2 linked regions of the Arabidopsis thaliana genome follow. The protein of the gene in region 1 interacts with the protein of each later gene in a biochemical or structural test. Each region holds a gene or a part of one and is shown in the gene's direction. Other genes may lie near its edges.

Region 1 (4,451 bases):
TAAAGAACAATGACCCATTTGTAGTCATATGAAATGAAATTTTGCATATGAATGACCCTAACAGCAGATTAAAGGTTGAAGATTTCTCTTGTAAGTTCTACAAAGTACACATAAGAGAACCTTGTATGCTAGCAAAAAGCTCTTCAGTAAGACCTAATATAGTTCATGCTACATGTCATCATGTAATTGTTATGGCTCTAAGTTCTAGACCCTTGAGTAAACTCTCAAGTCAGTTTTAAGGAGAAACAAATTTGAAGAGCAATGTCATTCAAAATTGGATATGAATGACAAGCAAAAGGTTGAAGCTTTTGAGAGCAATATAAAAAAAACTTGTAGACTTGTAGTATCCAAGTAAACAGCTATCCATAAGCATTATACAGTTCAAGCAAACCAAAATCTAAGCTTCATACCCTTAACTAAAATCACGCTAGCAAGCTTTCAAATTTGAAGAGAACAGCTTCCATAAGCACCAAATGCTACTACATTTCATGCTCTAAGCTCTATACCGTTTATTCATTTCATGCAAGAAAGCTCCCTAGCTAGTAACCATAAACAGAAGAAGAGTGAATGAATTCTTACCGTTTAGCTGGAGGAGAGCTAGTGCGACCAAACCCGGGAATTAAATCATCAAAAATGGAACTACCCTTCTCCTCTCGGTCACTCTCTTTCTTCCCCAAATTGTTTCCCATGAGATCATCGAAAGGAGAACTGTTCTGTTTCCTGTGCTTCGTAGGAGAAGATGAGATAGAAGAGAAAACATTCTCAAACCTAGCTGACTGAGAAGAAGTGGAAGGGATTTTGAGCTCAGGAATAGACTCAAACACATCCTCATCATCATACACAGGCTTATCATAAACCGGCATAGACGACGCTGATTTGGATTTGGGTTCCTTGAACATAACATCATAGTCAAAAGCAGGAGCAGATGGAGAACGAGAATCACCAGAAGATCCATACTTTGGTGGTGGTCCGCTAAACACATCTCTGAAGAGAAGATCATCACCATCTCGACCAAGATCGTCAAACACCGGCAAAGAATCCGACTTTTTACCAGCGGCAGAGGCGAAGCTATAAGAAGAAGCGAAAGTGTTGAAATCAGCGGCAGAAGAGTTTGATTGAGAAGCCATGGGCGCAGATTTGCCTTGAGGTTTCAATCCGAAGTCTCTCGCTAACAATCCTGTGAAATCATCCATTGGATTCCTTTAAATTCTCTAGCTCCGAATTCGAAAAGCTTTAGATTTTGCCCACTAGAAATGAAGAAGAGGTTATCTTCAGATCTGAGTCGCCATTAACGAATCGGATCAAAGCATTTGATTTTTTAAAAAGCTCTTTTTTCTTCGTTTTCCGACTTGTTTATGGTTTCTTCTCCGACTCGTACATGTTTCCCAGTCTTCATAATTTCTTCATTATTGCTAAATGGGTCCTAAAGTTTCAGAAATAACAAATTTGGTCTCCAAAATCTTAAAAAAATAAAAAAAGTAATTCCTTAGAGTTGATCCTCAATATATATAAACTTATAATTATATTAATTACCAAAATACAATTATATGTTTAACATTTTCTATAGCAATGAAACTCTTAGAATTATCAAAATATGTAGAAAATATTTGTCAATGTACAATTTTGTTTTTTTTGTGAATAAATTTTGGTATTTTACATTGGTTCAAAACCAAAATGAATAAATCCAAAACTCTAGCCAAAGTATCACCGAATTTATAAGACTTGGGGGACCCAAATTGAAAACTCTGAAACTTTAGGACCCATTTAGCAAAAACGAAGAAATTATGAAGACACCCAGTCGGAGAAGAAACCAGAGACAAGTTGGGAAAACGAAGAAAGAAAAAAAGAGAGCTTTTTTAAAAATCAAATGCTTTGATCCGATTCGTTAATGGCGACTCAGATCTGAAGATAATCTCTTCTTCATTTCTGGTGGGCAAAATCTAAAGCTTTTCGAATTCGGAGCTAGAGAATTTAAAGGAATCCAATGGATGATTTCACAGGATTGTTAGCGAGAGACTTCGGATTGAAACCTCAGGGAAAATCAGCTCCCATGGCGTCTCAATCGAACTCTTCTGCCGCTGATTTCAACACTTTCGCTTCTTCTTATAGCTTCGCCACCGCCGCCGGTAAAAAGTCCGATTCTTTGCCGGTGTTTGACGATCCTGGTCGAGATGGTGATGATCTTCTCTTCAAAGATGTGTTTAGTGGACCACCACCACCAAAGTACGGATCTTCTTCTGGTGATTCACGTTCTCCATCTGCTCCTGCTTTTGACTATGATGCTATGTTCAAGGAACCCAAATCCAAATCAGCGTCGTCTATGCCGGTTTATGACAAGCCTGTGTATGATGATGAGGATGTGTTTGAGTCTATTCCTGAGCTCAAAATCCCTTCCACTTCTTCTCAGTCAGCTAGGTTTGAGAATGTTTTCTCTTCTATCTCATCTTCTCCTACGAAGCACAGGAAACAGAACAGTTCTCCTTTCGATGATCTCATGGGAAACAATTTGGGGAAGAAAGGGGCAGATAGTGACCGAGAGGAGAAGGGTAGTTCCATTTTTGATGATTTGATTCCTGGGTTTGGTCGCACTAGCTCTCCTCCATCTAAGCGGTAATATTCATTCACTAGTTGCTTTTTCTTTATCTGTGGTTACTAGTTAGGGTCACTCACTGCCATTTAAATTTGAGAGCTTGCTTGCGTGAAATGACTCTTTGAATTGTAGAGCTTAGAGTATGAAATGTAGCATTTAGTACTTATGGAGAACTGTTTCCTTGTATGTAGAGCTGTTTGATTCCCTGGTTTCGATATGTTATTTACTATGTACCTTCATCTGTGGTTACTGGTTAGGGTCATTGCTCTTCAAATTTTAGAGCTTGCTTGCGTGGCATGAGTCATGGCTCTTCAAACGTACATAATGATGAAGTTGATATTAGTGATTATGGAGCTTGGTTGGTCACAGAGCTTGGATATTGGTTCTTTTATGAATACTCTCTAAAACTTGAGTGAGAAATCTGGAAAAAAAAACTTTAGAAACTTCAAGATTCATGTCATTCATATGCACAATCTCATTTTTGATCTGTGGCTACGGTCATTGCCTTAATAATTAGTTTCTCCTAGACCTGTGGTTACTAGTTAGGGTTGCTCCTGTCACCTTCTCTCTTTAAATTTGAGAGCTTGCTTGTGTGAAATGACTCAAAGGGTATAGAGCTTAGAGACATCATGCTTTCATAATTGTAGTGCCTTTATCTCTGGCTTTGTAGCATGCACTCTATTCAGTGTCTTTATATCCTGACATTGCTCTTCAAATTTGTTTCCCCAGACCTGTCTTAAGAGCTTGCTCAAGGGTATAAAGCTTAGAGCCATCACGCCTTACATAATCATAATGCAATGTAGCATGAACTATATTTATTAGTGCTTCAATTTGCTTGCATACTATACAGATTTCTCTTATGCGTAGTTTTCTAACTTAATTTCATTTTGATTTTTGTTGGTATAGGCATAACTTGTTTACCAATTGATTGATACTCTACTCTTTTTGTGCAGGACAACTTCAGAGACAACAAATCAATCCGAGAAAGCTCCATATCGAACTGCCGAGACATCTTCCAATGTGGAAGAAGACCCGTTTGTAGTCTTGGAGGAGTCTGAATCAACCCCTAGAGAACCCTCCCGTACTGATCCATTGGACGATATTGGTAAATTCAACAGCAGAAAAACTGATCATTCATCTGTCCACGGAGGAGTATTTGTTGATATTGACCCTCTTGATAATCTAGGAAAACCAGGGCCGGATATGAATAGTAAAGGGAAGAGTCATTTAAGACCACCAGGAAACATCAGTGGCTCCCAGTCACCACCAGTAGAAAGCCCTGGGAGTTACCATTCTAAGAAAGTTTCATTTGAAGATTTTTTAGAGCCACATAATATGAGTACTCCACCACCTACCAATTCAAATGGAAGTTTCGAGTCGTCTGATGATGTGTGGCTTACTGTATCCGAGATCCCCCTCTTTACGCAACCTACGAGTGCTCCGCCACCTACGAGACCTCCACCACCAAGACCTACACGTCCTATTAAAAAGAAGGTTAATGAGCCTTCTATACCGACGTCTGCTTACCACTCACACGTTCCTAGCTCAGGAAGAGCTTCTGTAAATAGCCCGACAGCATCTCAAATGGATGAACTCGACGATTTTTCTATTGGCAGAAATCAGACCGCTGCGAATGGATATCCTGATCCTTCCTCTGGTGAAGATTCAGATGTTTTTTCTACTGCCGCTGCATCAGCTGCTGCCATGAAGGATGCCATGGATAAAGCAGAAGCAAAGTTTAGGCATGCTAAGGAAAGGAGAGAGAAAGAAAATTTGAAAGCAAGTAGAAGTAGAGAAGGAGATCACACAGAAAATTATGATTCTCGTGAAAGGGAACTTAGAGAAAAGCAAGTGAGATTGG
Region 2 (4,451 bases), on another chromosome or scaffold:
CACCGTGACTCTCCTCATTCTCCACTCTACAACCCTCACCACACTGTCTCTGACCGTCTCAACGCTGCTTTCCTCCGATCAATCTCACGTTCTCGCCGTTTCACAACCAAAACCGATCTCCAATCCGGTTTAATCTCAAATGGCGGCGAATACTTCATGTCCATCTCAATCGGTACTCCACCGTCGAAAGTTTTCGCCATTGCTGACACGGGAAGTGACCTAACTTGGGTCCAATGTAAGCCATGTCAACAATGTTACAAACAAAACAGTCCACTCTTCGACAAGAAGAAATCTTCCACCTACAAAACAGAATCTTGCGATTCAAAAACCTGTCAAGCCTTGTCCGAACACGAAGAAGGATGCGACGAATCTAAAGACATCTGCAAATACCGTTACTCTTATGGAGATAATTCGTTTACCAAAGGAGATGTTGCGACCGAAACAATCTCCATTGATTCTTCCTCTGGCTCCTCTGTTTCTTTCCCCGGTACTGTCTTTGGTTGCGGCTACAACAACGGTGGTACATTCGAAGAAACCGGATCCGGAATCATCGGACTCGGAGGTGGTCCATTATCGTTAGTTTCCCAGCTTGGTTCTTCCATAGGGAAGAAATTCTCGTATTGCTTGTCACACACGGCAGCTACAACAAACGGCACAAGCGTCATAAACCTAGGAACCAACTCGATACCTTCCAATCCAAGCAAAGACTCCGCTACGCTCACTACACCCTTAATCCAAAAAGACCCCGAGACTTACTATTTCTTGACACTCGAAGCAGTCACCGTCGGCAAAACCAAGCTTCCATACACCGGAGGAGGATACGGATTAAACGGGAAATCATCAAAGAGAACCGGAAACATCATAATCGATTCCGGTACAACCCTTACCCTTCTCGACTCAGGATTTTACGATGACTTTGGTACGGCCGTGGAAGAATCAGTAACCGGAGCAAAGCGTGTGAGTGATCCACAAGGGCTTTTAACACATTGTTTCAAATCCGGAGACAAAGAGATCGGTTTGCCGGCGATAACAATGCATTTCACGAACGCCGACGTGAAGCTGAGTCCGATAAACGCGTTCGTGAAACTAAATGAAGATACAGTGTGCTTGAGTATGATTCCGACAACTGAAGTTGCTATATACGGAAACATGGTTCAAATGGATTTCCTTGTTGGCTATGACTTGGAGACCAAAACGGTATCGTTTCAACGCATGGATTGCTCCGGGAACTTATGAAGCAAACGTTGCCGTTAAGAGCTAGCGTTTTTATTATCTGATATTCATAATTATTGCAATGTAATGAATATTCAGTATAAATAATATCTCTACTTACTAAATTAAATTTCTTCCTAAAATCAAATAGCCATATTTAGGTCTAGGCACGAAGCAGATATCCGGAAAAATTGTGATATTTGTTATTCGATTCGTTTTAACGAATACTTGATTTTGTGATTTGCTTTGCTTCGAAAATTTCCGGATATCCGGAATTTCGAATATCCGGAATTTTTTGTGATATTTGCGGATATCCGCTTTGATACATTTAAATATTAAAAAAAATTTGTATACTATATAACCATATCAGATATTCAAAGTTTTTATTAAACATGCTTTCAAAATAAGTTTTAAATACCAAACACAACCGTTGTTGGTATCATCGGTCAGCAAAATGTTATCAAACTAATTCCAAAAACTAAAACCTATAGTTTTTGATGCCATTGATCAAAACATAACATGAAAAAAAAATGAACAAACAAATATCTTAACATAAAAACATAAAATGGCAACAATACACAAACTATTTATGATATCTATATATAGATATAACTATATTTTTAATATATATAAAAAGATACGGATCGAAGTGGATATTCGATTTTTTAAAAAACAATATTCGTTATTTGATTCGGTTTTTACGAATACTACATTTTCCTATTTGTTTTGGTCCAAAATCTTACGGATATTTGGATTTTTCGAATCAAATCAAATCAAATACCGAATCGAAGCGGATCGAACGAATATTTTGCCCGGCCCTAACCATATCAGTTACAGTCCAAAAAAGTGACCGAAGAAATTGACTAGTATTTTAATTTATTTTGACAGCAATTGACTAATTATATAAGTCTTAAATTTATTTTATTGTTATGAAAGTTATATGATAACCTCATGTTGAAAACGATATTCGCCAAATAAACAAAGAAATGAAGATAATAATATTTTTTGACATGCGGTCCAATAAATAATTGCCATTAAAATAGACAGAATAATAAGCTTTCGTTAATTAAAGACGATTAAGGAAAAATATAAAAATGAAACATCATTAAAAATAAAAATAAAGTTAAAGAAGTACAAAATTGAAGACCACTCAAAAAGAAAGTGTTGAAACCAAAGGAGTTAGCTTCTTCAACTTTCTCCACTAATTCATTCCATTGTCGTTACCTTTTTGTTTCTCAGACTGTTACCTTACCTGTAAAGAAGAGAGTTAAAGATCTATTGCAAAAAAACTCAACCTTTAATCTCTCTGCTTCTTCTAATTAAGTAATTTCAACTACCCTTTTGGCGAAACCTCTCGATCTATTGGTTTGGTACTGAAGAAACCGACTTGAGTCTGATTTGTTTTTGGTGAAAGCCATGGAAGCTATAAGAAAGCAAGCTGCGAAGCTCAGAGAGCAAGTCGCGAGGCAACAGCAAGTGGGTTTCTTTCTGCTTGTAATAGATTTCTGTGTTCTTAGATTTATATGTCTGGTTACTGAGAAGAATTTGTTGTATGGATTTCTAATAAAGGTGGAATCTTTGAAGTGGTTGATGGTTAATTTATAGTCTTGGGGGTAGATAGGATTGTTGAGGTATGAATTGGTTATAGTTAGGTGAAAAGTATGGGACTTTTTTCTTGTTTTAGACATAGATTTTGCCTTTTTTGTTTTGATTTTAGGTTTAGATTACCTTCTAATAATATCAGACAAGATTGTGTTATTTGTGTAGGTTTCTTTATTTGTATTAAAAAAATAATCTGGTTTTTGTGCAGGCGGTTTTGAAGCATTTAGGGCATGTTAATGCTGATGCTGTTGTTGTTGATGAAGAAGAGCTTCATTGTCATCAGAAACTTCAAGATCTTTATAGCTCTACTAAAGCTGCTAAGGTAAAGATATTTTAGGTTTTTTGTTGAGGCTTTCTCGGATAATAATCTCTTTAGTTTTGGCTTATCAAAGTTGTTCTGTTCATAGCGTTTGCAAAGGAACATTGTTCGTGGACTCGAAGGTTTCATTGCGACTGGCACAAAGGTTGTTGAGATAGGTATGTTCTTGTTTCCTACTTCATCTCATATAGTGCTTCTTGGAATCACATTTGTAATGGTGTATGTCCATAGGGTTGAAGTTTGCTGAAGATTTCAAGAAATATGGAGATGAGAATCCTGATGCTAATACTCCTCTATCAAGAGTCGCACATCACTTTGGGACCTCTTACAAGTCGGTGGAAGGCGAGAGGGAAACTCTCCTCGGAGTTCTTAGTGAGCAGGTAAATTTCTTGGAACGTTTATATATTATTCTCTAATCTTTACCGGGCAGGGTCTGTCAAGAGAACTTTGTGAGTGTAGTTACAGTAATTTGATTTGTGTAGGTTTGTGAGCCAATTCGTACAATGATATATAGTGCGCCTTTGGAGGATGCTCGGCATTTGGTGAATCACTATGACAGGCTGAGACAAGAAGTCGAAGCTCAGGTAAAGTCTTGTTGAACTTCTCTTTTGTTTGTTTTGAGGCACCTTGAATTTCTTGCGGCATTTAAAGCTTTCGATTAACAGGCAACTGATGTACTGAGGAGAAGATCAAAGTTGAAGGAATCTGATATTTCTGAAGAAGCCTACATAAAACTTAAGAATTCTGAATCGAGATTGGCTGAGCTCAAATCAAGTATGAAAACTCTTGGTAAAGAAGCTACTAAGGCCATGTTGGAAGTCGACGATCAGCAGCAGAACGTAACTTCTCAGCGCCTCCGTGCTCTGGTAAATCTCCTTTCAAAGCTCATGATTGTTTACATGTCCCTGGATTGGATATGAAATGAAATTACCAACGCAGGTTGAAGCTGAAAGATCATATCATCGTAATGCTCTTGATATCCTCGACAAGCTACATTCCGAGGTCAGTAACTTTCTCTATTTATATACTTCAGATAATGACTACATACACTTAGTTACGTGAGCTGGTTGCCTTCTTCTTATTCAGATGATTGCTGAGGAAGAAGCTATAGGATCATCACCAAAGTCACTACCTTTACATATAGAGGATAGTGCTTCTCTTCCCCAACAAGAACCGAATTCAAATTCCTCAGGAGAGATCAAATCAAATCCCTTGGGAAAGATCAAAGCAAGTCGTCGAGAAGAAATCAAGTCTAATCCCCAAGAAGTAACCAAACCTAGTCCCAAGGACGAAATGAAGTCCAGTCCACAAGAAGAAA

Evidence for each region. Proteins that work in one complex are often made in the same cells at the same time.
Region 2: the proteins of AT4G12780 (region 1) and AT1G31440 form a complex in vitro, tested with the Arabidopsis thaliana proteins (one study listed by BioGRID).

What each region holds. Positions count from the first base shown.
Region 1 is NC_003075.7:7,510,216-7,514,666, forward strand, and holds the start of AT4G12780 (Chaperone DnaJ-domain superfamily protein), read left to right. Parts: upstream 1-1,791; 5' UTR 1,792-1,984; coding exon 1,985-2,610; intron 2,611-3,543; coding exon 3,544-4,451. Other genes in the region: AT4G12770 (Chaperone DnaJ-domain superfamily protein), read right to left, coding at 580-1,193. UniProt on the Arabidopsis thaliana protein: Promotes uncoating of clathrin-coated vesicles. May interact directly with clathrin.
Region 2 is NC_003070.9:11,256,657-11,261,107, reverse strand, and holds the start of AT1G31440 (SH3 domain-containing protein), read left to right. Parts: upstream 1-2,293; 5' UTR 2,294-2,628; coding exon 2,629-2,688; intron 2,689-3,022; coding exon 3,023-3,136; intron 3,137-3,221; coding exon 3,222-3,291; intron 3,292-3,364; coding exon 3,365-3,513; intron 3,514-3,615; coding exon 3,616-3,717; intron 3,718-3,798; coding exon 3,799-3,999; intron 4,000-4,072; coding exon 4,073-4,135; intron 4,136-4,219; coding exon 4,220-4,451. Other genes in the region: AT1G31450 (Eukaryotic aspartyl protease family protein), read left to right, coding at 1-1,236. UniProt on the Arabidopsis thaliana protein: Lipid binding protein bound strongly to phosphatidic acid, phosphatidylinositol-4-phosphate and phosphatidylinositol-4,5-bisphosphate. Binds actin in vitro. Involved in trafficking and modification of clathrin-coated vesicles.